Linked DNA regions of Tamandua tetradactyla. Each later gene encodes a partner of the first gene's protein in a complex. Links are inferred from orthologs where the notes say so. Each region holds a gene or a part of one and is shown in the gene's direction. Other genes may lie near its edges.

What was found.
Region 2: TAF3 (region 1) and TAF7 share a complex: the UniProt entries of both Homo sapiens proteins name them as parts of the TFIID basal transcription factor complex. The link is inferred for Tamandua tetradactyla from reciprocal best matches to the Homo sapiens genes TAF3 and TAF7.

Annotation. Positions count from the first base shown.
Region 1 is NC_135333.1:55,747,132-55,758,061, reverse strand, and holds the start of TAF3 (transcription initiation factor TFIID subunit 3), read left to right. Parts: upstream 1-6,223; 5' UTR 6,224-6,437; coding exon 6,438-6,603; intron 6,604-10,535; coding exon 10,536-10,778; intron 10,779-10,930. UniProt on the Homo sapiens protein: The TFIID basal transcription factor complex plays a major role in the initiation of RNA polymerase II (Pol II)-dependent transcription.
Region 2 is NC_135346.1:21,437,675-21,447,788, reverse strand, and holds TAF7 (transcription initiation factor TFIID subunit 7), read left to right. Parts: upstream 1-6,272; 5' UTR 6,273-6,588; intron 6,589-6,992; 5' UTR 6,993-7,055; coding exon 7,056-8,105; 3' UTR 8,106-8,128; downstream 8,129-10,114. UniProt on the Homo sapiens protein: The TFIID basal transcription factor complex plays a major role in the initiation of RNA polymerase II (Pol II)-dependent transcription.

The DNA of each region.
Region 1 (10,930 bases):
AATGAAATAGGGTATTTGTGAGTTTAATTTGCCATCTTTAAATGAAAGTCCAGAAGAAAGTTTTTGCAAGAAAGGGATAACATGCATTTAGCTCTAACTTGGACATTCCATATTGATAAATAAAGTGCTATCTTTTGATAGACATACAGGTTTCCAATTTATAGCTTCTATAGAAGTGTGGAGTAGATATCCTTGGGCAAGTGTTTGCACGCTTGTATGTATAAAATTTAAGTAGACACTGCCAAATTCCTCTAAAAAAGATTATAAACTTGCACCAACAAATAAGAGTGATCCTTCCTACTCTGAAGTTTTGTATATCCTTAATGATGGTTAATGGTGGTTAATAAACAATATCTAATTGCTTGTTCACTCATTTCTCATAACAGTTCTTTGTATATTAGTGATATCAACTCTATCACTTGTGTTGTAATTAGGAAAGCTTATTTAGCCACTGATGGATAAGAATGCACTATCATTGTTTCACTCTAATTTTAAATGCCATCTGATTAGCTATATTTGAAGGAATGCAGTATCCAATATGGGAATTTTTTAAAAGAAATTTTCCATTTCTCTGACAACTTTCTTATAGACCCAGCATAGGGTCTTGAGAAATAAAACCGAGTAAAAATTTATTAATTTGCTTTACCAACAACACTTAAGTGAAGATAGTTTTGTATGCATAGAGCAGGGGTTTTGAAGCAGACTGGGTTGGAATCCCAGCATAGCCCTTTCCAGCTGTGTGACCTTAGGCAAGTTTCATAATCTTCAGTACCTTTTATTGTTAAGATGGAGATTAAACTAGTACCTACCTCATGGAATTGATATAAGGAGTATATGAAAGGATATTTTCAAAGTGCTTAAAAACAGTTTCTGACACATGGCAAGTGCTATGTATGTGGTTAAATGCCTGATCTATGTAAAAGTAATCATCAATTCAATGTATATATTGATGATTCTCTATGTATTGATACTTGCGCTTTGAAGATACAGTGATAATTAAAACACTTCCCTAAAGGAGCTTACAGTCTGGGGAGAAAACAAGCAAATAATGACAAAATGGATAAATGTTGTCATTGGTGAACATATAGGAGGGACACTCGACCAGGTCTAGGGAAGATGAGACTGAGAAGGCTGTCCTGCCTGGAGACAACAGTAGAAATTAAACTACTGGGGAAAGCTGGTGGCGGTGGGAAGGCGTTTCGTTTCAGGCCAGGGAGCCAAAGTGGCAAAGTCCAGAATCAAAATCCTCAAAACACATTCTGAGAACTGTTAATGCAAGAGAAGATGAAAGAAAAGATTAGTCTAGAAATGTTAGCTGGGGCAAGATTATGAACATACATGTGTAGTTTAGACATGCAGAAAGGAGTCTTGAAGAACAAAATTGAAAATTTCCCTCCTAGTTATAATCCATCCATTTATTAAATATCAAAAAACAGAGTGATTACAATGATAAAGTTTATAGATTCATTACATAATTTAAAACAAACTGCTATTCTTTTTTCTGAAACCATCTAGACTGTCCTCAGTGAATGAGATCTATTAGTATTCTAGGATTGAGTTGTCATTATTGCAACTCCTGTTTTCTAAGAATTTGCCTTTTGTGAACCTTTGTTTCCCTTACTGCTTTAATATTTGCAACTTTCAGAAACTTTATTAAGATTGGAACCCTAAGCTTGAAAACTGCAAGTTAATGAGCTCCTGTCAGTACCAACTGAATAAAACGATAACATGGCTGAAGTTGGGTTTCACTAGTTCTCGGCTATAAACCCATTGTTGGCACCGATCTCTTCACTCTGTCCACAGCTTTTCCATATTGCTCTAGGTTCATTATTCACCAGGATAGAAGGCTGAGGATCTGAACTCTCAGAGCTGGTCAGAGCTCAGCTCTCATAAGAAAGCTAAGTCAATAAATCTTGTGTCCTCCAAAGTTGTGTACAGACAATTTGCCACTCAGTGTTCATAGGGAAAGCAACTGCTCTCCATTCCAACTGCTGCAGCTCTTTTAAGAGGCTCTTGTTTTCTTCTACTCACCTCTAATCCATTCTTTAATAACAGCTTTGATGAGATACAATTTATGTACCAGACAATTCATCCTTTTCAATGTACAGTTCAGTGGTTTTTGGTATATTCAGATTTGTGCTGTAACCCATTTTCCACACTATTGATAAACTCTAAAAGCTTTTTCTTTATTGAGCACTAACTCCATGCCAGGTGCCATGCTATATACTGGGGACTTAGCAGTGAATGACAAGGACACAGTTCTTGCTCTGTGTGTACAGCTTAAAGGAGAAGACAAGTCAAAATGATAATTACAGTAGTGTGATAAAGCATAAGATGTCACCTCTTCTGTTCAAAAAACCTTCATTATTGTTAGGCACAGGATCGATTCCTTTGCCTGGCATTGAAGGCTTTCCAGAATGAACTCTTCTCTAACTTCAAACATTTTCTTTCATGTGGTATATTATCTGGCCAGTCTGAACTATGCTATTATCTGTAAATGTCCTTGATTTCCTACTTCTGTTCTCTATAAATGTCTCTTGATTTCCTGTCTCCATATTTTTACTATCTCCTCCCCCTGGGCTGTCCCTTCTGTCTGGTCACCATTCTGGCTATTCAAACCTTACCACTTCCCAAAGCCTAAATGAAATGACCCACTGGAAGTCAGTCCCTCTAACACTTGACTGGGAATAACTGCCTTCTCCTTGTATTATTTTCTTATTACTACTGTAACAAGTTACCACAAACTTAATGACTTCAAACAATGCAAATGTGTCTCATTCAACCTAGATCAAAGTCAAGCTGTGGTCCTTTCTGGTGGTTCTAGGGGAGAATCTGTTTTCTTGCCTTTTTCAGTTTCTAGAAGCTGCCCACAACCCTTCACTTATCCCCTTCCTTTTTGAAAGTCAGCAGTGGCTGGCCGAGTCTTTCTCAGGCCATCTTCCTGGTTCTGACTCATCTATCTTATAATCAGCTGGTTAGCAACCTTGATTTCCATCTGCAACCTTAATTTCCCCTTCCAAGTAACACAGCGTATCCACATGTTCCAAAGATTAAGAATGGGCATCATGAGGGGCCATTATTCTGCCTATCACATTCCTAAAGGTCTGAGCATTACATCTGTGCTTTTCTTACAGCACTTGCTATTTTTTTTTTCTTTTACCTCTCTAACTTCATTTCTATCTTAATTCCTCCCACTAAATTGTAAGCAACTTGATGGCAGTCTTCAGGCATTTTATTCTCTTATCCCAGCCGCATACAGTAGAGTGCTTTGTATAGAATGGGAAGTGAGTATGTCATATTAGCCACCTGCAAATCAACATCCTTCCCAAAGGATTTTTTACAAAACAAAACAATAAAAAGAATATTTCAAAAAGAAAGCAGGCAAAGACCCAAAGGTGAAAAAGTAGTTTGCTTTGGCTGGTGAGTGGATATAAGGAGGCAGTTATGAGAGGTATAGGCTTTAAGGAGCAATGGCAGCCTAACAACTGTGAAGGCTATGGAGACCTGCTGGAATCTTTTAAAAGGAGTAACACACTGCAATCAGATTGACGGTCTAGAACTATTTCTCTGACATCAGTTGAGAAAATGGCTTGTTGGTAAAGGCAGGAAGATGAGAAAGGATGAAGGCCTGTCTTTAGGCAGTACATAGAGATAGAAAGAAATGTCCAAATTTGAGTGAAATGAATAACCTAGAATAGAGAAGGCTTTGTGAGGGCTGGGACACAGAGCAACTTGTGACTTAGTCCTAAGTAGCTCTCTTGGGCATCTTGGTAGATGATGTGAATCTCTGAGACAAAGGATATATAGATTGATGAGTTTAGTTTTGTACATCCATCACACATGAATTAAATTTGAGTTGTATAGGACTCATCCAAGCAGTTGTTAGTTGCTAGAGGCAATAAGTTACACTAGCATAAAGTGAAGGAAAAATCTGGGCTAAAATGTTACATTTGGAGTCATCTTTACATAACTATTCATTCAACCATTGGGGTGAATCGTATGAAAAGAGAACAAATACTTACAAATTAGGCAAAGGATAAAGCAAATATTTGATATTGTTAAAAACCAAGGCTTGGGCGGGCCACGGTGGCTCAGCAGGTAAGAGTGCTTGCCTGGGCATTCCCGGTGCGATTCCCGGTGCCTGCCCATGTTAAAAAAAAAACAAAAAAAACCAAGGTTCTCTGGGAGAAGGGAGGTACACATAAGTAATGGGAGAAGGTAAAGAATATGTAGTTTCAGACTTGAATCAGAGGCACGAGTATGTACTTATGACTCATATATATATATATTTATATTTCCCCCCTAGTTCTGTCTACTAAAAGGGCCCTGAAGTACTGATACCCCTGTAGTAACAAAGATGAACTACCACTCATATCTTGTTTTCTAAATACCAATCCTCACTAAGAAGAATTAGGACCCTTGGAGAAATGGCTAATTCCAAGTCTAGGGCAGGGAAAGTACAAGTATGAACCTGGAAAATCTTGTGTCACAATGAAGGAAATGCTCAATGAAGGGTAGTAGCATGTATCATGAGGTTTTACAATTTATTTTCAAACCATTTTGGAAAGAAAATGTGTTTGCATATATATCTGTGTGTATATAGTAAATGTAGCAAAACTGTTAACAACTGGTGAGTCTAAGTGAAGTTTATACCTGTGTTTATACTTCCTATTCAACTTTTCTGTGGGTTTGATATTTTCCAAAATAAAATAACTGAGGGGTTAAAACAAAACAAAACAAACAACAGGCAAATAAAGTGGTGCCATTATAGAGATTTAAAAAGAGCCTCCAGAAGTATTGAAAGAACACCACCAAGAAAGTGGGGTGTTGTGAAATCCAAGGTACAAGAGAGTTTCAAAGTTAATGCAGTGTTCAACATTGTCAAATGGCTACAAAATGATCAAATAAGGGTAGGACTGAAAAGTGTCCTATAGATTGAGCAGTAAAATGGTCCCTTGTTCCTTCTCTGCGGATTGTTCTTGAGCTGAAGTAGCAGATATTCACTTCTACTGGGTATTTAAGACTTAAAAAAAAATGAATAGCTATTATGTTCAAAGCTCTTGAATAGTACTTGTAGGAAGAATAGGGTCTCTCAAAGTTACAATTTATTAAGGGAAGCAATAAACTCAAATACTAAATGAAGGGTGATAAGTATAAGGAAGTAGGGAACACTCCAAAGCTTGAGAGGATGGACAGGGAGGGGGCGGGGCACATAAGAATATATTTAAGAAACTAAGTACATTAGCCATTACAATTTACCCAGGGTGAATCTAGTTTGGCTTGCAAGCTAAAATTCTGAAAATGTATTATCAATAAAAATTGAAAATTTTGGCAACTTGGAAAGATCTGGCAACACTTTGCTGGAGCTGGGAAAACACTCTGGGGTAGGTGACACTTCCATACACTCAGCCTGCTTAATTCACTTAAGTTCCTTGTTTGGCCTCTGATAAGCAACTGAGTTCCCCATTCCCTTAATAGATCACATGGCTGGAGATAGACAAATGGCAAATTATGGCCCACCGGCGGGCTGCCCGGTATTGTAAATAAAGTTTCATTAGAACGAGAGCCTGGATTAAAGTTGAGGTGAGTAAGGCAGGACCCTGGAAGTGCAGGCTCGGTTCTTGTTTTTAAGATGTTGGCATTTTGTTCATGGATTTTTTAGCTTTAATTTTGATTTTAAAAAATTAAGAAAATATTTATCTTTATTATTGAGATTTTCGTGCCCCCTTAGCAAATCTTGCACCACAGTAACTGCTTCCCTGACCTGACCCTAGGCCCGACCCTGCAGCTTTGAATGCCATATTGAACAGCGTGGACTTACTGAATCTATACAACCATAAGCAGCTCAATTTTTTTAGCAGAAGACAGGATGAGATCCGCGTTTTAGTTAACAATTTAAGTTCCCATCCCCCCAACCAGGCCCCTGTGCTCAAAGCATCTGGGAATCCCACTTCTCTTTGATACCTCCATCTCAATTTCAGGTCCCAGCTTCCTCTTCTGACTCTAAGATACTTTGGCTTCACTCTCCCTTCTTTACAGCGTGAGGGTCCCACTGAGAATACCTCAGTTGTCTGACTTCTCCGGAGCGCACCCTACTTGCAGCCTTTTCCTTCAAGGTTCTAGGTCTGAGAGTCGAGCCCCATTCGATTGGCCTGCGCGAATGGGGAGGAGCGCTTTCTCATCGACTCTCTCAGTGCTCGCTTACTGCTGCCTCGCCCCGGCGACAGTCCAGCGAGAGGCGGAGCGAGTCCAAAATGGCGACTCTCAGGCTGGCGCGCTCCGTGTCGCTGAGGCTTTGAGGAGGTCGCCAGGGGCCGGGGGGGCACAATTTCCCCGCCGCGGGGACCCTGGAGGATGAATCGAGGCCTCTGCTAAGGTTAGGCGGCGCTGGTGGAGAGAAGTGGCAGCAAAAGCTGCGGTGGATTCAGCGGAGCGGGATGTGCGAGAGTTACTCCAGGTCGTTGTTGAGGGTCTCGGTGGCGCAGATCTGCCAGGCGCTGGGCTGGGACTCGGTGCAACTCAGCGCCTGCCACCTCCTCACGGACGTGCTACAACGTTATCTGCAGCAGTTGGGACGGGGCTGCCACCGGTACTCTGAGCTCTGTGAGTACCGGGCTGGGTGCGGGAGGGTTAGCTCCGGCGAGTCACGAGTGACACCTTCAGTCTGTCCTTCCCTCCCTCAGCGTCTCGGAGTTTTTAGTTCTTTTCCACTATCCTGAAATCTGGCCTCCTACGCTCCGTCGCTTCCACTCCTCCTTCAAACTCCAGTTATCCCTTTAGTACCGCTTCCTCATCCGCTAACTTCCCGCCACCAGCTTTGGAGCCCTGTCTCCACTCCCAGCTCCATACCCTCTCATCCCTTCTCTACTCTGCAGTGTGTATCAGAGTTTCTCATTGTCTCGTTTTTGGTGCATGTAGGAGCCTCTCCAGAATGACTTACACCCCTTTTTTACCTTGGTCCCTTTCCTCCCTTGCCCGCAAACTACTACAACTAGTTGTCACTGGCGCTCCGTCTACCGGTCGTTTTATACAAGACTAGCCATTCTTTATCATAATACATCTCTTTGACAGCTCTGCTCCGTTAGGAACACTGATGCTTCTTTCTGTATCTATTTAGTTCATAGACAGCATCTCGGCTCTTTATGTCCCAGGATCAATTTTGTCACTTTCACTGATTAGATGAAATTTCACTTACATCACCATTGATTTTCACCATTTATACGTATCAGTGGTTATCAAAGGCTGATATAGGGATCATAGGCAGTTTACCAAGTAAACTGAGCTACAGTATTTATAGCTTTAAGTGACTATCTGCTAGTATCTATATATGGTAGTCTTTAATAATGTGGAATATTTAATAGAAATATCCTATCCTCTGATTGATGTGAAATGTGTGTATGGTGGGGGTGAGAGGAACACTCCACTCATTTAAATTTTGGAACATGATTGTTATGGTGTTAAACTGGAAAACTGGGTGTTTCATAGAATATATTATTTTGTTAAAGTGGTTCCTAGAATGAAAAATTGAGACCCACGGATATGTTTTGTTTCTTGGGCCCCAAATTCTGTTCCAGCTTCAATAGTACTGCAAAATAATCTATCCATAATACGAATCTAAATGTGTCGTTCTTAAAATCCTTCAGTTGTCGTTCATTGGCTACAGGCAAAAAAAAATCTACATTCTTGTATAGCACACAATTCTCTTCGTGAGCTAGCATTTTAATTTTCTGCTATCCAATCATCGCAATCCCATTCTGCCACCATGCCGAGCTAACTGACATTTCCAAAACAGTTGAAACTATGCATTCCTATGTGCATGCTGTTTCTTAGAGTGTCCTTGGCCCCCTGGTCCATCAGTAGTACTATGTATGATTTGAGATCACCAATCACTTGCTCTAGGAAACTCATGTTACCTGCTTGCATAATTCTTTGTATAGTTCTGTTATGTTATTTAACACCTTGTTTTCTAATCATCTGAATATGTCTCTCTCCAGTCCCTTCTCCTTTCCTCTCTCCAGGATACTGTGGAACTCTTACATATATATATGTTCGGTAACCTGGTGTGGTACCATAATATAATAGGGCTACTAGGTTCGTAATCTAGTATGAATGATAGCCTACTACCGTAATAACTATTGACTTTACTTTCTGAGTTCAAAAATGTGTATTTTTTTGAATGCTTGATTTCACAAATACTGCTAACCTGATTTTGGAACTGCGAAGTGACTCTCATTCTGTGCTATCTTGGAAGTAACCACCAGCATAATACTCTCCTGGCTTTTGCTTCCCTCTCATCTACTCCTCTTTCATGGTCCTTGAGTATAGTGTTACCCATTATGCATAGTCCAGGTTGCGTTCTTGCTACCAAGTTCCCTTAATAAGGACATATGTTCTGCACCTCTAATCAAATATCCCCTGAAACATAGTTACCTTCCTGTCTTATAGGCAGAACCAGGAAATATGCTGGTACTTTATGTATCTAGGTTGGCCAAAGTCATCAAGTGATGATTGCTGTGATTAATATAACTGTCTTTCCTAATTACCCAATTTCTATAGTCAGTTTTCTTTATTTTAGTCGGAATGCAATTATCATGTTCATTATTCCCCATCATGGTTTGGCGAGTTTTTAAAATTCTGTTTCCTGGATATCCTGATTATGCTTATTAATTACAGACATTTTTAAAATTCTTTTTTTCTAAACTATCTTTACTTTAAAATCGCATGCTATAAACTTAGGTTGCCATTATGCAACTTTATATTACGCCTTTAAATACGCCTTTAAATTCTTTTTGGCTTTTTAACAAACATTCATTGAACACCACTTATGTGCTAAGTCCTCTGCTAGGTGTTAGAGACATTAGAGTTATTGAAACACAACCCCTGCTCAAAGGGTGTGTACAGGAGTGCCAAATTGTCAACAAATCTGATGGTATTTGTTCCTTTAAAATTTTTTTTTCTCAAGTTAAAGCAAGTATCACAAGTGATTATTAATTAAACAAATAATAAAATTTTTAAGTTTCTGTAAGATAATGATTTCTCAAAGCATTCAGGGCAAATGTTTCTCAGTGTGTTGTATTATGAATTAAATAAGTGTGCATGCACTGAAAGCAGATGTTAAACCTTTCAGGGTGACTCTTCAAGACAAGGACCATAACTTAATAATTCCATGATATGGGCAGTAAATGCAAAGGGGATAAGGTAAAGGAGAGATGGTTGTGGATTATGAATTGGGGTAAAATGACCTTACAGAAAAGATGAGATTTGAGATAGACTATGAAATATGTTTGTAAAAGGTGGAGAGCATTCCAAGTTAGAGAATAATACAAATGAAGAAGTAAAACGTGAGAGGAAGCATGATAAAACTTCCAGTTAGGTGACCAGCTTGGTGACGAGCTTCACAGATGAAGCAAGTTCATTTAAAGGGCAATAAAAGAAAAGGTTAAGCAGAGTGAAGTTAGGGTGTAGAGATATTTAAAGCTATGCAGAAGAATTGAAACATATGGTTTGGTATGTGGTATATGGTAGGTGATAGGAAAAAGGGCATATTCCTAAATAGCGAGAACAATGTAATAAAAGTGGTATTCTAAGAGAACTTAAAACCATATTGAGGGATGATAGTAGGAATGGAGAGAAAGAAAAAAAAAATGAAATCTTTGACCAAAAAGGAGAAAAAAAAGTACCAGAGTTCTTGGCTTGAGATTGTAAAGGATAGGGAAGAATTCAAGATGATCGTATTTTTTAGACTGAGAGAATAATACCTTTAATAGAGGTGGAAGAGTTAAAATTAGTATCTTCGTCAGTTAAAGAAAGAATGAGTATTAATTTTTTTTTTAATTTTCCATTTCATACATCATAGAAGTAACCGATACTTGTAGAAAAATTCAGACTGCAGAAGTTGTTGAAGTTAGAAAGTTTCCTGTCTCTTCTTTTCCCTTCCCCTGTACTGCGGCTCCCTTCCCCCTTCAACTGTTATCCTTCCAGAGCTTTTCTGTATGTGCACAAGCATATGCATGTGTCTAATTTTTACAAAATGCTTTTTCATTTTACAGTATGATTTAATTTTAGATATACTGAATTTGAAATGATCATAGGAGATTTTAGTAAAAAAAATCCTTTAGGCTCTTGGAAATTGGAAACTGGAATTTAAATAAGAGGTCTTAACTAAAAGATGACCTTAGGCTTGCCAAAGGTAGGCATAGCTTTCACTATAACCTTTTTTTTTTTTTGTATGGGCAGGCACCAGGAATCGAACCTGGGTCTCTGGCATGGCAGGCAAGAACTCTGCCTGCTGACCCACCGTGGCCCACCCTCATTATAACTTTTATTGGTGCTGTTAACACCATGCCATTCTCTATCCACTTTATATAGTGTCTTCTAATTATGTTAAAGAAATTATATATAATTACCTTTATGATCAAGTCCTTTCTTGTAAATTTTCTTGGATTTAAAAACAAAAATACTTTTTTTCGTTAGTAATTAAAAATATTCCTTGAATGTCTTTAAAATAATTTGATTTGCTTTTGTCTTTGTTTCAGATGGCCGAACAGACCCAATTTTGGATGATGTTAGTGAAGCTTTCCAACTTATGGGGGTTAATCTTCATGAACTAGAAGACTATATTCACAATATTGAGCCTGTCACTTTCCCACATCAAATTCCTTCATTTCCTGTTAGTAAGAACAATGTCCTTCAGTTTCCTCAACCTGGAAGTAAAGATGCAGAAGAAAGAAAAGAATACATTCCTGATTACATGCCACCCATTGTGTCTTCTCAAGAAGGTATGTGGGTTTTTTTGTTTGCATGTTTGTTTCTTGTTCATGTATTTGTGACTATTTTAATGGATTTTGATCTTCTTAGCTTTTCTAACTGAATTATAAAATGCTGTAGCAACATATGAATTTTTGAAATGCAATAAAAATATTTTAATGTT
Region 2 (10,114 bases), on another chromosome or scaffold:
AAAAACATTTCCACGATTGTCAGGGACTGTTTCAAATTCCAAGGGGTCTTCCTTTGGCGTATCAGTTCTATGTATCCAATCATTCGTCCCTTGCGGTAAAGCACTCTCACCCTTAGGCTTCTTCTCAGCACTCACCAGTGTGTTTCTGGACACTGAGCCCCAGATTTTGGGCGAGATCCCCCTCCTTGGCCATCTCTTCCGGATCTCGTGGCGCATCTGGGGCGTGACTCACTGCGCAGCGCAAAGCAGCAGGGAGGGAAATAGTGCTTCCAGTCGCTCCGCGCGCCTTCCGCGTCTCTTGTTGGTTGTTCCCGGACGACCAAGGTGCGCTGAAAAGAAAAGGCAGACCATCCTGTGGGGTCATTAAACATCCTGACGTTCCTGATCCAAATATCTGGAACAGATTGCGGGAGAGAGAGCTTGCGGGCTCCTCTCGATGTGTTTCTTAAAAAAGATCTGGGGGATCGCGGCGGCTGACTGTCTAGTGGGTGGCTTTGCTTCATCCTAGCCACCGATTGGCCGACAGCGGCACCCAGAGGCCCTACGTGATATCTATCGCGGGTTATTTCTGACTGTTCTCATTAGAGATTCTATTTGCTTTATTGATGGAACTTCTTGTTCCATTCAGGTGCCCATCCCCCATTGACCTAAGAGGAATATGGGATTCTGATAAATCTAAGTCAATAATGGTCTAATCTCTTCTTGGCAGTGCACGGTTTAGGAATATAGGCTTAAAATAATTCGTTTATGGCAGGGTTTCTCGACCTTGCTACTACTGACATTTTTAGGCACATAACTCTCTCTTTTAGAGGCCTGTGCTGTGCAGTATATGATGTTTAGCAATATTTCTGCCCTCTACCCACTAGATGCCAGTAGTAACCCTCTCCACTCCAGGTGTAACAACCAAAAGGGTCTTCAAACATCACCAGGTATCCCCACCCCCCTCCCACCTGGGTTGAGAATCATAGGCTTAGGGTATTCTTCTAGTTACTTATTGTTTAGGGATGGGTACATGACCTAAATCCATTTGGATTAAAGAAAGACTTTCGTTGGGGGATGGGCAAGGGAGGACCGTGGCCAGGTTTTGAAAATTCACAGGCTGAGGAAGGCAGTGCTGGGAGAAAAAAAAAGCAGAAATAAATATTCATTCTTTAAAACTAGGAAGTGAAAACCAAATTGTGTCAGGCCATGATTATATCGTCTCATACCTCTAGATCTCTGTGGTCCAGTACAGAAGCCACCAGCCACGTGTGGCCATTGAGCCCTTGAAATGTGCCCATTCCAAAGTGAGATGTGTTGTAAGTGTAAATACACACCAGATTTTGAAGGGTTACTACACAATAAGAATGTAAGTATTTCTAACAATTTGTATATCAATCACATATTGAAATTACAATATTATATATATTGGTCTAAATACAACATATTATTTAAGTTAATTTCTACTTGTTTCTTTTTGCCATTTAAGATCACATTTGTGGCTCATATCTGTGGCTTACATTGTATTTCTATTGGACAGTGATGCTCAAGGTTTGTGATAATGATTTTCTTATTTCTTAAATTAGTATACATTAGTTGCTTTTTCTCATAAAAGGCTTCCTACTTGACAAAAATATGTTGTACATATTTTTAGGTAATTTGCATTATGCCTGAAAAATACATGGTGATATAGGGTGCACAGGTGGTTCAGTAGTAGAATGCTCGCCTTTCATGTGGGAAACCCGGGTTAGACTCCTGGACCATGCCTCCCCCCCAAAACATATTGTGATATAATAGTAAATAAGCTTCCTTTACTGGATATTTGCTATTTCCTCACTCCTATAAATTTCTAATTCCAAAATATAAACAGAACTTATCTCATCACCCACAATTTTTTAATCTCCAAAGTATTAGCAGCCCTTTAAGGAAAGTGAAAGTTTACTACAGGAAACTTTCAAGAATACAGTATTAGCAGTAGCCTAATTATTGTCTTCCCTTATTATAGGTAGGAAGTCTTTGAAGGACTTGTTACCACTCTGGAAAATTTATTGCCTTCCCTAAATATTTGGTTCACTGGTATCACAGATATTCCATAAACAAGTACAGGGGGGTAATTGATCGGCTCAGAGTCTGTGTTTTTCTGTATGTTTAATGGATTTGAAAAAACGAACGAACCTGGATTTCTTAATAGATACTAAGGTGATGGTGATATGGCAGAGATCTTAACTTCAAGGTCAGTATAATCCCTCCCCACCCCATTTAATAGCCTTTAGAACACATGCTAAACTCAAAAGCCAATAATATGTTTCAGGATTAAATGAGTTAGATGCCTCAGGGAAACCTCAGTTAATCCCTTTGGTTAATTCAAACTGTCTTCCAGTTTAAGGTTTACTAACGAAAATACATCATAATTTGAGCAAATCAGTATTTAATAGAATTAATCTCAGGCTACTTTCTGTGACAAGGGCATTTGAATATCCCCAAACTTGGGGAATTAAAACATAAAATAATATTTAGATTATTTTCATTCATAAGCATTATTTATATTTTATATATAAATATATATATATATATAATTGCAGAGGCTAGAATGTTTACTCTTCTATCTGTAAAATAAGTAAAATCAGGTATAATTGAGGAACAAGCACATTGAAAAAATTTCCTCTTCAACAGACAGAAAATAGATCATCATGGAAATAATAAATGAATCAAATAGCATCCTTCAATACAAAGAGAAGGATGCCCTTCTGGAAGGGCATACTTTCTTCTTAAAGATTAACATAAAACTAAATTAATCCTAGGTCATTTTAATTTCTTCCTATAATACAATATCACAATCTACCTAAAACCAAGAGGACACATTCACATACACTATGATTAATCTCCCCTGCCCCATAACAATTGGCACTACCCTCAACTAGAGAAGAAATTATTATCTATGTATTAGAGACATAGATGAAGTGACTCTATCTCATTTTAAGGTGACAGAGAAAGTATTCTCTCTCATAAATTATGACAGGAGTTAGCCTATATTTGTGTTCTTTCTACATAGATCAATTTTCCATCCAATTAGCAAACTTTTCTTGTGTTTCTCCTATGTTGTGGTAGTAGGCACATGATGAATAAAATAGAAATGCTCCCTGACCATCACGGAGCTTTCAATCTGGGGTGAGGAAAACAATTAACAAGTGCATAAATAAAGCAATTTTGGGAATATTAATCAGACAAGATATTCTCTTAAATTCATGTGTAATTGTTAATATTTGAGAGGATAGCAATTAGATTCTAAACGACTTTGATGCTCTACCAAACTGATCCTATTTGAAAAAAATGGAAATGAGTAGGAATAAGTGGAAACCCTTATCTATTACTTGGCAACAATATAAATAGGTGTTGATGCACACCAGACAACCCATACGTGAAACAAACAGAAAATAGCCAGCAAAACAGTAGTGCCATAGTGAAAAAAATTCAGCATGTGTGTTGGTTTGAAAGGATTATGTACCCTAGAAAAGCCATGTTTTAATCCTAATCACTCTTGTGAGAGAAATGTTTTCTTCTAATCTCTAGGTTGGAAATTTGATTAGTTTATTTCCACAGAGATGTGATTCACCCAATTGTGGTGATTAAACTTGATTAGATGAAGAGGTGTCTCCACCCATCCTACATGGGACTTGATTAGTTTACTGGAATCGTATAAAAGAAGAGACATTTCAGAGAGAGTTCCCTTTTTTGAGAACGAGGAGAGGAGCGCAGAGTCAGACACAAGGACGAGAGAACCACAGAGTCCACCAGCCAGGGACCTTTGGAGATGAAGGAACACTCCTCCCCAGGAGCTTCATGAAGCAAAAGTCCTGGAGAGAAAGCTAGCAGACGCTGCCGTGTTTGCCATGTGCCCTTTCAGCTGAGAAAGAAACGCGCTGAACGTCATCAGCCTTCTCCAACGAAGGTATCTTTCCCTGGATGCTTAGATTGGACCCTTCTATAGACTTGTTTTAATTTCGACAATTTCACAGCCTTAGAACTGTAAGCTAGCAAGTTATTAAATTCCCCTTCTTAAAAGCCATTCCGGACCCAGCAATACCATTGCTAGGTATCTACTCAAAGGACTTAAGGGCAAAGACACAAACGGACATTTGCACACCAATGTTTATAGCAGCATTATTTACAATTGCAAAGAGATGGAAACAGCCAAAATCTCCATCAACAGAAGAGTGGCTAAACAAACTGTGGTATATACATACGATGGAATATTATGCAGCTTTAAGACAAGATAAACTTATGAACCATGTAATAACATGGATGGACCTAGAGAATATTATGCTGAGTGAATCCAGCCAAAAACTAAAGGACAAATACTGTATGGTCCCACTGATGTGAACGGACATTCGAGAATAAACTTGAAATATGTCATTGGTAACAGAGTTCAGCAGGAGTTAGAAACAGGGTAAGACAATGGGTAATTGAAGCTGAAGGGATACAGACTGTGCAACAGGACTAGATACAAAAACTCAAAAATGGACAGCACAATAATACCTAATTGTAAAGTAATCATGTTAAAACACTGAATGAAGCTGCATCTGAGCTATAGGTTTTTGTCTTGTTTTGTTTTGTTTTGTTTTGATTTTACTATTATTACTTTTATTTTTTTCTCTATATTAACATTCTATATCTTTTTCGGTTATGTTGCTAGTTCTTCTAAACCAATGCAAATGTACTAAGAAATGATGATCATGCATCTATGTGATGATGTTAAGAATTAATGATTGCATGTGTAGAATGGTATGATCTCTAAATGTTGGGTTAATTTCTTTTTTTCCGTTAATTAAAAAAAAAAAAAGAGAAGGGATAATTGGAGATGAAGGGATACAGACTGTACAACGGGACTTGATATAAAAACTCAGAAATGGACAGCACAATACTACCCAATTGTAATGCAATTATGTTAAAACACTGAATGAGGCTGCATGGAGGTATAGGTTTTTTGTTTTTGTTTTTTTTGTTTTTTTTTCTTCCTATTATTGTTTCAATTCTTATTCTGTTGTCTTTTTATTTCTTTTTCTAAATCGATGCAAATGTACTAAGAAATGATGAATATGCAACTATGTGATGTTATTAAGAATTACTGATTGTACATGTAGATTGGAATGATTTCTAATTGTTTTGTTAATTCTTTTTTTAATTAATAAAAAAAAAATTTACTGAGGTATAAAAAAAAAAAAAAAAAAAAAAACAAGGAAAAATCAAAAAAAAAAAAAAAAAAAAAAAAAAAAACACTGAATGAAGCTGCATCTGAGCTATAGGTTTTTGTTTTGTTTTGTTTTGTTTTGATTTTACTATTATTACTTTTATTTTTTTCTCTATATTAACATTCTATATCTTTTTCGGTTATGTTGCTAGTTCTTCTAAACCAATGCAAATGTACTAAGAAATGATGATCATGCATCTATGTGATGATGTTAAGAATTAATGATTGCATGTGTAGAATGGTATGATCTCTAAATGTTGGGTTAATTTCTTTTTTTCCGTTAATTAAAAAAAAAAAAAGAGAAGGGATAATTGGAGATGAAGGGATACAGACTGTACAACGGGACTGGATATAAAAACTCAGAAATGGACAGCACAATACTACCCAGTTGTAATGCAATTATGTTAAAACACTGAATGAAGCTGCATGTGAGGTATAGGTTTTTTGTTTTTGTTTTTTTTTCTTTCTATTATTGTTTTAATTCTTATTCTGTTGTCTTTTTATTTCTTTTTCTAAATCGATGCAAATGTACTAAGAAATGATGAATATGCAACTATGTGATGTTATTAAGAATTACTGATTGTACATGTAGATTGGAATGATTTCTAATTGTTTTGTTAATTCTTTTTTTAATTAATAAAAAAAAAAAAAAAGCCATTCCGTTCTAGCATATTGCATTCCGGCAGCTAGCAAACCAGAACAGTTATAAATTCTTGTATTGGCTCCCAGACACACTTTGGGGAGCATCATATTCCTTGAAGCAGTGACACTTTGCACACTAACGCCCTTATCTCCGGTAATCATCCGGAAGCCTAGAGGCTATCCGGCTCCATGGAGATCCGATAAAAGTCCTGGCTTAGCAGGGTAGCTAGAGGTGGGGGGTAGGGGAAGTCTGTCTCTTAATCCGAACTGTTATTTCCGTGCGTTCTCAAACCAAAAGCTCTGTATGAAATATTTTACTTCTTACGGGGTTTACGGTCTACGTTGTCGCAAAAATTGGCCTTTCACGCCCAGCTGCGCAAACGCGCATGCGCGCGCCGGGCGGCTCTCATTTCCGGGCAGGGGGTCGTGTCGCTCAAGCCGCCTCCCGCCCCGCGCAGTGACGTAGCGCTTCTTTGTTCTCTAGGTCTGCAGCTCCGGACTGAGCGCTGCGGTATACTGAGCTGCGAATCTCGGCGACATTTCGCGTTGATAGCCCTGGTCCTTTCACTCGTAATTGGTAGCGGATCTTTGTGCCAACCGCTGAGAAGAACAGAGGCATCGAAAAGGAGACTCTGGGCCCCTGGCTGCCGTGCTTCGGGCCGAGTCCTCTTCCGCTCGCACCGGTCTGGAGAAGCCGAACTTGTAATCTTCAGTGGATTGTAAGTACCGGAGGCGAAGAAAGCTCACTGCGCCTCGCTTTTTAAAATATCTTTGTTCCGGGAGAGTTTGTGGATTGGGAATGTCTGTTGGGCATTACTTTCTGGGCCGAAAATAATTTCGCCGGAACCGCCATTTGCTTTGCTGCTTGCTAGCTGTTTGCATTGTCCGGCAGCGGCACCTAGAGGTTGAAACTTGGCATTGCAGCTAATAGATTTAAATGATCACAACTGCGAAAAAGCCAGTGTTTGTCAGTAACGACTGGTTCTCAGTCGCGTCATATTTAGAGAAAAGGCCTGGGACTTAATTCATAATTAAGTAAAAATAGATGCTTAGCTGCTGTTGTGTTTTAAACTTTGTAATGAAGAATTTCAGTTTGTAACAGTGGCTTTTCTAATTATTGCAGAAAGTAACTTGGAACTTGTTAGTGAAACAAGTTTTAGAGGAGAAGTGTCACAAGGAAGTAAAGATGAGTAAGAGCAAAGATGATGCTCCTCATGAGCTAGAGAGCCAGTTTATTCTACGCCTACCTCCGGAATATGCCTCTACTGTGAGGAGGGCAGTACAGTCTGGCCATGTCAACTTGAAAGACAGACTGACAATTGAGTTACATCCTGATGGGCGCCATGGAATTGTCAGAGTGGACCGGGTCCCACTGGCTTCAAAGTTGGTAGATCTGCCCTGCGTTATGGAAAGCTTGAAAACCATTGATAAAAAAACCTTTTACAAGACAGCTGATATCTGTCAGATGCTTGTGTCAACAGTGGATGGTGACCTCTACCCTCCAGTGGAAGAGCCAGTTGCCGCTGCTGATCCAAAAGCAAGCAAGAAAAAGGATAAGGACAAAGAGAAGAAGTTTATCTGGAACCATGGAATTACTCTGCCTCTAAAAAATGTCAGAAAGAGACGGTTCCGTAAGACAGCAAAGAAGAAGTACATTGAATCTCCAGATGTGGAAAAGGAAGTGAAGCGTTTGCTGAGTACAGATGCAGAAGCAGTCAGTACTCGTTGGGAAATCATTGCAGAAGATGAAACCAAAGAGGCAGAAAATCAGGGCCTTGATATCTCCTCTCCGGGAATGTCTGGCCATAGGCAGGGCCATGACTCATTAGAACACGATGAGCTTCGGGAGATATTTAATGACCTCAGCAGCAGCAGCGAAGATGAAGATGAGACGCATCATCCGGATGAAGAAGATATAAACATCATCGATACGGAGGAGGATCTGGAGAGACAGCTGCATGACAAGCTAAATGAATCAGATGAACAGCACCAAGAAAACGAGGGAACCAATCAGCTGGTTATGGGGATTCAGAAGCAGATTGATAACGTGAAGGGCAAGCTCCAAGAGACCCAGGACAGGGCAAAACGACAGGAGGATCTCATCATGAAGGTGGAAAACTTGGCGCTCAAGAACAGATTTCAGGCTGTGTTGGATGAACTCAAACAGAAGGAAGACCGAGAAAAGGAGCAGCTTAGCTCTTTGCAAGAAGAGCTAGAATCACTCCTAGAGAAGTGAGAAAACCTTTGATACTTAATTTTTTTTTTTTTTTTTTTTTTTTTTTTTTTTAAAGGAAAGACAGAGAGAAGGAAGGAAGGATAGAAGGAAGGAAGGAAGGAAGAAAGGGAAACATTTTTAAACATTTTCTTGTTTTATTGTATTCTGTTTCTCCGTTTTTGTTACATGGGCTGGGGCCGGGAATCGAACCGAGGTCCTCCGGCATAGCAGGCAAGCACTTTGCCCGCTGAGCCACCGCGGCCCGCCCTGATACTTAATTTTATTCCTCAGACAGGTCAGCCAAAAAGAAACACCTAGAATTGGATATTATGACCTTGTAGTAGTTCCTTTTCCCTCTTCTGTCTTCTGTTGAGTTTATCCTGTTTGTTTCTCAGAACCAGTTTGCTAGGTGTTTCTCTTCTAGGAAGTAGGCTTGTATAGGTAGAAAAATGATTTTAGGAAAGTTGTAGGATTGAACAGTTTAATGTTCATAATCACAGCTATACTGCAAGACTTTGCTGTTGTTACTCTGTTTGCCAGACACTATTGCTTTTTTGATGCCTTCTGAGATCAGTAAGAAAAGGCAGTGAAGCTAGTTTGCATTTTTTCCCCCATGCGTTAGCTATTTTCCCAGCTATTCAGAGCAGTTGTTTTCACATGTAGAAATGCAAATAATCTCATAAAATTGTTTCTAATACAGTTAATAAAAGCAATTATTTTTCACCTCATCTGTCTTGTTCTTCCATGGATGGTGGGAGTTGTGGGAGGTGATTTCTTGGTGGGGTTTAGTGACTGAGCAATTTGTTCCTTTTTTGCAGCTAAAAAAGCAGTTAAATTGGGGTTTTAAGAAAAAGACACTGCACGGGCCAAGAAATTGGGAAGTGTTATTTTTATATTAAATTTCCAAACCTCCTTTATTTGGAGGTTGGGAAACACTTGATACGGTAGCCTAAGCTACCTTAAATTGTGTAACACTTGATACAGTAGGCTAAGCTACCTTAAATTTTGTAAATGAAGATCTGTTAGTATCCTTTTTTTAAAGGACTAATGTCACCTGCTTAAGTGGCTAATGCAATGGATATCAAGTACAATTAAATGAATCATTCCACTGGTTTGGATTAAGGTTATGTTTCTAAATATTTTCAATTAACTTCTACAATTACTTAGTAATCAGAACTGAGGTATTTATTCATGTCAGCTCAACAGAATTGGTAATAAAGGAGTCAGTATCATAGTCTGATATTTCATAATTTCTTAAACATATTTAGAATTTTTATGTTCTCAAGTGATCCATGTTATGAAGATATCTAATGCTTCAAATGAGCTATTTTTGAAAAATAAGTTGTAGAATTTACAAAATGTAGAGTTGCAGGCAGTTCGTTTCTGACATTGTTTTATGGGAGAAAAAGTTTTGGTTTGAAAATGCTATTAGCCTCAGAAGTAAATATTTAAAGCACATTTTAATTTTGTATTTGACAGGAAACATCAGTTGTGAAACGTTAAAATCAGTTATTTAGACTTCAAATCAGTTATTCAGACACCAGGTCTTCAAATCGGATATTCTGATATTTGTGGACTTTTCACAAAACTGATTTTTCTCATTATCTGGTCATTACTTATTTGCTGAAACATTTTCACATTTTTAGGGTTTTCGTACAGAATGTGGAGGCTTAGACAGGGTTTCCCTCAATATATAGGCTTTGGACTCTGTCTTGAAGTTTGCAAATAATAAGAGCTAAGTTTTCTTAACATATTAGTGTTGTGGGTAACAAATTCTATTGTAGTATACCTGGGTATTCTGCTATGCTTAGAAGATTCATGCCTGAAAAACTCCCATGGTATTTTTTTATTTTATGGTGTTTTTATTTTTATTTTTATTTTTATTTTTTTTTTTTTAAACATTTTCTTGTTTTATTGTATTTTGTTTCTCCGTTTTCGTTACATGGGCTGGGGCCGGGAATCGAACCGAGGTCCTCCGGCATAGCAGGCAAGCACTTTGCCCGCTGAGCCACCGCGGCCCGCCTGGTGTT